Linked DNA regions of Styela clava. The protein of the gene in region 2 purifies or fractionates together with the protein of the main gene of each other region. This does not show direct contact. Links are inferred from orthologs where the notes say so. Each region holds a gene or a part of one and is shown on either strand. Other genes may lie near its edges. The genes, in order: ribonuclease P protein subunit p29-like and ribonucleases P/MRP protein subunit POP1-like.

Region 1 (3,540 bases), on a different chromosome or scaffold from region 2:
CTCACGGAAATTGAATGTCAAATATTGACTTAATATCAAATTTGCCATCAAAACAAAAATCGAATCATGATTGTAATTTGTAACGTAAGTAACGGACCATTTTTTCTTCCTAATGAAAATTTTGCTATTCAGACAAAAGTTTTTCACCTAATTTTTTATGGTTTTACAATTGAACTATATTCTCTAGTGACATGGCAAAAAGTAGTTAGTTGGTGTTAATATCTTATCTCATTTGTCCTCTTTCTGTAACGCAAGTAACGGTGTTTCGGGACATTCCTATGTTAAAGTAGTCCATAGTATCGCCACCTCTATGGTGTCTATGTTACACCCCTAACGCCATCTACAACTAGTAACAATGTGACTTGCATACTTCTAATACGTTTTAGGTTAAGTCAGTTTGAAATTTGAAAATTTGCTCAGATGTAACGAAAGTAACGCTGGAATTGCCCAACATCTCAAAAGGGGGAGTAGAAATTTGGAATGAAAAAAGGTTAATCTCTACAAGAACCCACCATCGTCAACTTTAATTCCTCTATATCTTTTCCTATTTATTTGTTTCTTATTCCTTGTGTTACTTTTACCACCAGTCGATGCACAGCAACTTGGGATTTTTAATGTTGGTGCTGAAAAATATACTTTCGATAAATGCCTGTATTTGAAAATTGAATGATTGAAACAAATTCTCGAGAAAAATTTTGACTTACAAGCTGAGAATTGATGGAGTTTCACCCTTGTTAACCTTCTGATGCATTCCATGATCTATATATTCATATTTAATATAGTAACACTAAACTACAAGAAAAATGATAATAGAGTTGGATGTGAGAGGGTGGCAATGTCAGTAAATGCAAGTTGCCAGTTCATTGTCCTTATATTTAGTTACCACGTCTTACAAAATAATATTTCACTTGTTTTCTCTTTGAGTAAAATGTAAGAGTTGAACGAACACCATATAAATTTCAATGATATAAATAGAAATACACAGGTGTCGAATGTCGATGGTTCTTGAATGGGAGAGTGTTGTATTTCCAGAGTTTTAATTAATCGCAAAGACTGTAAATGGTTATTCATTCAGAATTTATACTGTAGTATTGTTTTTAAACAAACCTATTTCCTGTGAAGATTGCACTACGTTGATTACCTATTAATAAGCCTCTGAACCAGAGGCAGTAACTAAGGTCCATTTAAGGCAGTGAAGTATGGAATAAGTTAACAGAACGACGTCTAGTAGGCCAAGTAGGGTGTTAATAATAATTGAGTTCGCATAAAATTGTGTAAAAATAAATGGTCTGTGCGAGTCACTTTGTTGATACACTTTGTTCACAATTTTCCCGTATTAAAACTAATCATATATGCGGTGATCGGTGACAAAGATTTATCTAGCCTCGAAGATGGAGAAGCAGTATTGGAGAACCTATTGTGAATTGAAAAGGCCTTAACATTAAAACGATATAAAGATATCTATATGCAACACTGAGTGAAATTAACAATTATGTGCTGCAATTAATAACTAATATCCTTCCACATTTTTGAAAAGATGGTTGCTAAGCAACAGAAGACAAATTACGCTTTTGATGAAATACAAATCACTTAGCATTAAACTCCGATCTTTAACAATTTTAGTTTAACTGCATTGCAAAAAAGTTATATCATCGCAAAAGTTCTTTTAAGCGTGGATTTTTCGTAAATCTTTTCATGAGTCTATGAGATGGCTTGAAGCAAAATTGTGATCCGAATATTGTTATAAGATATCCAGAATATTCCAATGTGAATATAGTCTTGTTCTTGGGAATTCTCACTAATTTGTTCTCCTTGGTGCAGATCAAAAATATGTTTTTTGTTTCCTGAAAAAATGAGATAAAATAACTTAATTTAATAAAAAAACGGAAATATTGGTATGCATATTTAACACACTGAACAATCCTTTGAACGAATTACCAAGTCATCCAGTTATCATAATCAGGAAACATAATAATTTATTCTATATATTATGAGGTCAAAAGTTGCATGTGTAGAGTGCAATCACCAATTAGTATTGAATCTGTAAATACCATTGATATATGATGAAATCACATATTGTGCCAGTGCACTTCAAAACAAGGACAAAATGAGTTAATAAAAAAGGTTAATAATACAGATATATTGGCACACCTGAAGGACTGTTCCACTCAAACCCAAATGAGATTTACAAGGTGAACCTGTCACAGACAGATCTGCTCCATGATAATCTGCTTTCAACAAAACTTCCTGTGCGTTTTTGTTATCCAAAGATGGTTTGGTTTCTCCTGGTTTTAATGTCTGATAATCCGAGAGTAAATCTGTGATGTATTCCATCCATAAAATACGCAGTTTTTCATAATCTTGATAGTTTGAATTTGTAGGTTTCGCCAATATGCGATTCTTTATTCTTCTCTTATTCTGTTTTTCACGTTTTCTCTTTTTAGCTCTCTTTTGTTCTCCTACCAACATAATAGGCTTGTTTCTCAAAGATGACTTCAAAGTTTTCAAATCTCGCTCTTTTATTTTAGGAATAGTTTTTTGAATAAATGCTTCCACATATGAATATGTTCCTTGCCGAGACATGTTTAAGGTTTAAATATCAACACACTGCAATATAAGAGACCCAAATTGTAAAATACAAATTTCCTGAACTAGGCTACCTACTGCTGCACAAAAAAGCAATAATCATGATGTCTTTCCAGGAACAAAGATCGTGATAAAGAAAGCTAGAAGTTAAAATTCAGAGAGAAAAACCGATGAGACGACTTTATCATATAACCAACACCGTAGCCTCTCGTCCTGATAACAGCCCAAATATTTTGTTGCTATTGACATTTCACTCTCTACAGCTCTATTTTATTATAGCATTACCGGTAAACCCACGGTAATCAGTAGTTTATTTTCTCACCATACTAAATGCACACTTGATATACAAATTGCAATAAATAAATAAAAAGGCATTTCAGGGTGAGGGGAGCCACAAGAAACCAAATTTGGTTATTGAGCAGCGGCACCCTTAAGCAAGTCTAACAAGGAAATAATAACGGTACGAGTAGCCTACCGTATGTCTCTAAATTCTTGAAAGGTTACAACTGAAGCGATAAAATTTAGTGAAAGTGCAAAACTACTGGTACCGGTACCGGTATGGGTTGTTCGTTCACAGTTCAACTACAAAACCGTACGGTACCGGTACGTCTTTCTGCATACCAAAGCTGCAAAGTCCATGCATCTGCCAGCAGTTTGGGCTACCCGCATTTTGCCATCTCTATTTTGAAACGCATCGAACGTAGTTCGCCATCCCTTTTGCAACCATTGAGATTTTGACTCATCGACCCTATTTCAGTATTTTGTCATTCCTAATTTGACACCCATCAACCTATTTAGCCATCCCCAATATGACTTTTATGCTATCATATCACTACTATAGAGTGAACTAGGTCTATCCACATTTTCATTCATCCAACTTGACAATTCTGATTGGGCAATTTGGCATTAGGTGACTCTGACTATAATCAGCTTGACGATATCTTTCGAGGAATA
Region 2 (3,938 bases):
GTCACAATATATGTTCCAGAATCCCCATGTTTTGTCACAATGTCTGTCTGGTAATTTTCTTACATAACATAGACATGCGCTGGGCCCGCGTTGTCAAACGTATTGGGAATTTTTTGCCAAATTTGGCCATAAAATAGTTTGAAGTCTAGTAACAATAGTAAGCTTAATCTTAGAATAATAGATTTTTCTGGGAGCCATATGCCGTCACCAAAAGAGCCATATATGGCTCGCGAGCCATGGGTTCCCGACCCCTGCTCTATACTTTGATTTCATTCAGTATTAATAAACAATTAAGGGAAATGATTATCCTGTTATTTACCTGTAGGACAGCTCTATCACTTGTGTGCTGTGATACCGCCTGTAGCATCGCTTTCATTTCTTTGGCAGATGATTCTACTTTGTCAGCCACACAGATGGCTAAAATATATCAAGAAATAAGAATTGACACTTATCACCTGTAGAAGTGTGATAGGTATTTAAAAAAAAAGGGGGATTCATGAGAAAATTGTAAAGCCTAAATCATCTTGATTCTTGATTATCAATATTGCAATTTGATGTTGAATATAAAATTTTGATGTGGCGAACCAGTTAAAAAAATTAGTAACTACCATAAGAATTGTCAAGTCATTCAACCAGAAGTCAAATCCAGTTGATGGCCATAAAAGCAAACGATACCAAATACAGTAAGATCAAAATTTTTCAGTTTAAAATAATGAGGATAACTAAAATTGGTATATAATCTCAATTATTATTATAAATTATTTTTATGTCATTTTTTCCCATTTTACAAAATGAAATTAAAAAAAACATTACCATTGCTGCTACATATGGAGGTTCAAATATCCAATATTGAAATGGATTTTAAAACAAAATTTCAGAAAATTCAGTAGTAATCTCATCCATGGCTAGATTTTGTTTTAATTTAATCACCCAACTAAAATTGGCCGAATCAATAAATTCGGTAAGTTGAAGAACGAAACTTTCAAACGAATATTGCATGTGTGAATGGATGAGGATGACTGAAGAAACTAAACTATTTGCGGAGCAAAGAACCAAGGTTCCGATCAAATTCTTCTTTTTTTGTGAAATTTTGTACCTAGTGGACATAAACACTAGTGAGATGCTGCTGTGCAAATACCTAAAAAGACATGAACTGCTTCTATACATTGTACATGAATATTGAATATTACCTCTAGGAATTTCAACTTGGCTTTGTGATTCCGAATCAACCATATCTTTGTAATATTCATGACGAGAAGCTGAAAAATGATTGGTAAAAAATGAAATTATGCTTTGATGATTTATGTAATTTTATTAGTATACAAAATTTTATACCCATGACATGTATAGTCAGATTTAGTATTTGGTACAAGTACTGTGGTCGGAAATAAAAAAAAAAAATTCAAATCGAACTTAAATGATTGCATACGCTAAAGTTTTTTATTTCAAATTTTGTTATCAGGAGTCAGGAGCTGGAAAGTTTTGGTAACCTAAAGAAGACTCCATAACCCTGGTTGTTCAGTTGTTTTTGACTGCATATAATCAACAAAAGTCTCTGCATAATTTTTGCCAAATATGACATATTAAATTCTATGAACTATGAAGTGCTTTCTCTCATCTAGGTTTGGAGAAATTTTACAGGATTTAGCAAAAATAATGAAAACCGGCAAATTTGTTGATATCTGATAAAGGTTGTCCAGAAAAAAATTGAGAATTCGAAAAACAAATTGATTTAACAAATTTAACAACTTATCAGTATCTCAAGTTATATTTAATTTCTAGACAACATACAATCTTTCTTCTTGTTGACTACCACATTCTGTGGCTGATATCTCATTCGTTTCTTCCAGCGAACGATACGATTAGTAACAGAATCTTGTTGCTGCTCAGAACCAGCTTTACCGACTTTGGCAGATGCATCTGTTGAAAAATTTGGTCAAAATATTCAAAAGCAAGTACGAAACAACCAATGAAATTGAAAATGTTTGGCAGTTTGTCGATCATGCTGCTCATCGTCAAGTCAAGCTGAGTTGAATTACCTTTTAGCTGTGAGTTTTATGATATTAATTAAGGTTGAAATTTTATATTAAACCATTGCAGCAGATGACTGATGAGGTATTTAAAAGAATTAGAATAACTCATTGAAAATGATATCCTGATGTAACCTCTCATATTAATTCTAATTATAAAGTTCAAGAACATCGTAGTTAGGTAGATAATCTCACACTACCATAGAATCATGTTAACTAGCTTCTTACTTTGAGATATACTAGCAGCTTTGCTATTACTCTGTTTTGCCTCCATTTTTCAATCCTACGAGTTTAATGAACTGAAAGAAAAGATGACTGGTTTAAATATCAATTATTAAGCAAAGATATTCTACCAGAAAAGAAAGTTCAAAATACAGAAATGTAGCTACGGATCCGAAGAAAAAGAACCGTTCTTGATCCAAGACATTATTGAGGCTATTATCAAAAATTTTATAGTCAGGAAATGGGTATAGAGAAGTGTTTATAACATATGGTGTGTTTATAACGACTAAGCCACAGCACCAAATCGTCAATTTAGAACATGAAAAGTGTTTCATACTTCAGTAAATTTAAACATTTGGATGTTTTTTGCAGCTATTATTCAGAAATGTCATGTAAATTTGAAAATATTACTTACCGTTTCACCATGTAAAATTTTTCCTTTGAATTATCGATGAGTCTTGAATAAAATAGCAAGTACCGGTATGTAAAACATGATCAAAAAAGGAGTTTCCGAAAACCTAATTATCAATTTTAGTATAGTGCTCTAACCTTTATAAAAACAAGAAAGAATCATACATAATACATTCAAGCACAAAAAAATTAGCTACTGTGAAATTCGAAATAAGGATCGAGCAAAATGATAGGACTAAGAACTATCTATGATACCCGTTTCACTACGCATTTTGTTCAATTTGATACGAAATAAAAGTTCACGAGCAATCTAAATCTGTTTCACTCATATTACATCATTAATAACCTAATTAATAATCATACCATCATAGTAAAACCAAAGTCATTTTTCAGAAGTGTACTTTTTTTGAATTTCCGTCATCTTGGACCAGTGACCATCTTCTGGTCTAGGTTTCAAAACTGAACCCGATTTAGTTTTGATTTTAGGTAGTGCCTTATGTCCTTTATAAGGTTTGGCTGTACAGATATGCAAATTACAAAAATGGGGTTTCATTAACAACCCATAAGCTAATTAGGTTCTATTGTGCCAATATGTTACTGAAAAATAGCTGACTAAAGAATGGCTGGTTCTAAATATCTTAGAGATGGCTAGACCATGCCTTGCTAGACAACACGTCATAAAAATATCCCTTTGAGAAATCCAGGTACAGAATATGTGTTCACATTTGAAAGTCTAGTTTTTACAAATGGAGCATGATCATAGACTTCATAATACAGGTTGAATTTCAGATCAATTATATTTTTTTTTTTATTATTGCAAACATAACTACCGGTACTTGATAATGTTTTCAAATCAAATAACAAGATTATATCAAATAGCTGGAAATTGTAATTTCACTTCAATATTCATAATCATCCATGCTTTGCTGTGGCAACAAAAATGATTGAAGTTTGTAGCAACATTTTATTACAAAGTGTAAAGTAATATCAGTTATATAAACAGCATAAATAGAAATGGAGCAACTAAGAATTTTCCAACATTCACCATGGAACTCATTTCTCAAAAACTCGGCAAAAAATTTATTTGTTAATAGGAGGCATCCAAATTTAAGTAAAAATAGTACTTCAATTTTAACAAAATAATAATTTATAGGAGCTGCTTGAAGGATAGTACCTATGGGAAGAATATAGAAGAAACAGTCTATGTTTTTACTGTGCCTGCTTGATAGAGATACATCAGTTAAACATTACGGATACTTGTTCATTACAAACTCA

What was found.
Region 1: the proteins of ribonucleases P/MRP protein subunit POP1-like (region 2) and ribonuclease P protein subunit p29-like purify together in Homo sapiens (affinity purification with mass spectrometry; 5 studies listed by BioGRID and IntAct, counting the BioPlex papers as one, with this or other methods). This does not show direct contact. The link is inferred for Styela clava from reciprocal best matches to the Homo sapiens genes POP1 and POP4.

What each region holds. Positions count from the first base shown.
Region 1 is NC_135262.1:12,185,521-12,189,060, reverse strand, and holds ribonuclease P protein subunit p29-like, read right to left. Parts: upstream 2,678-3,540; 5' UTR 2,584-2,677; coding exon 2,152-2,583; intron 1,845-2,151; coding exon 1,650-1,844; 3' UTR 793-1,649; downstream 1-792. Other genes in the region: large ribosomal subunit protein bL27m-like, read right to left, coding at 513-623, 705-756. UniProt on the Homo sapiens protein: Component of ribonuclease P, a ribonucleoprotein complex that generates mature tRNA molecules by cleaving their 5'-ends.
Region 2 is NC_135257.1:9,026,063-9,030,000, reverse strand, and holds the start of ribonucleases P/MRP protein subunit POP1-like, read right to left. Parts: upstream 2,808-3,938; 5' UTR 2,668-2,807; intron 2,330-2,667; 5' UTR 2,305-2,329; coding exon 2,259-2,304; intron 1,921-2,258; coding exon 1,792-1,920; intron 1,260-1,791; coding exon 1,191-1,259; intron 418-1,190; coding exon 320-417; intron 1-319. UniProt on the Homo sapiens protein: Component of ribonuclease P, a ribonucleoprotein complex that generates mature tRNA molecules by cleaving their 5'-ends. Also a component of the MRP ribonuclease complex, which cleaves pre-rRNA sequences.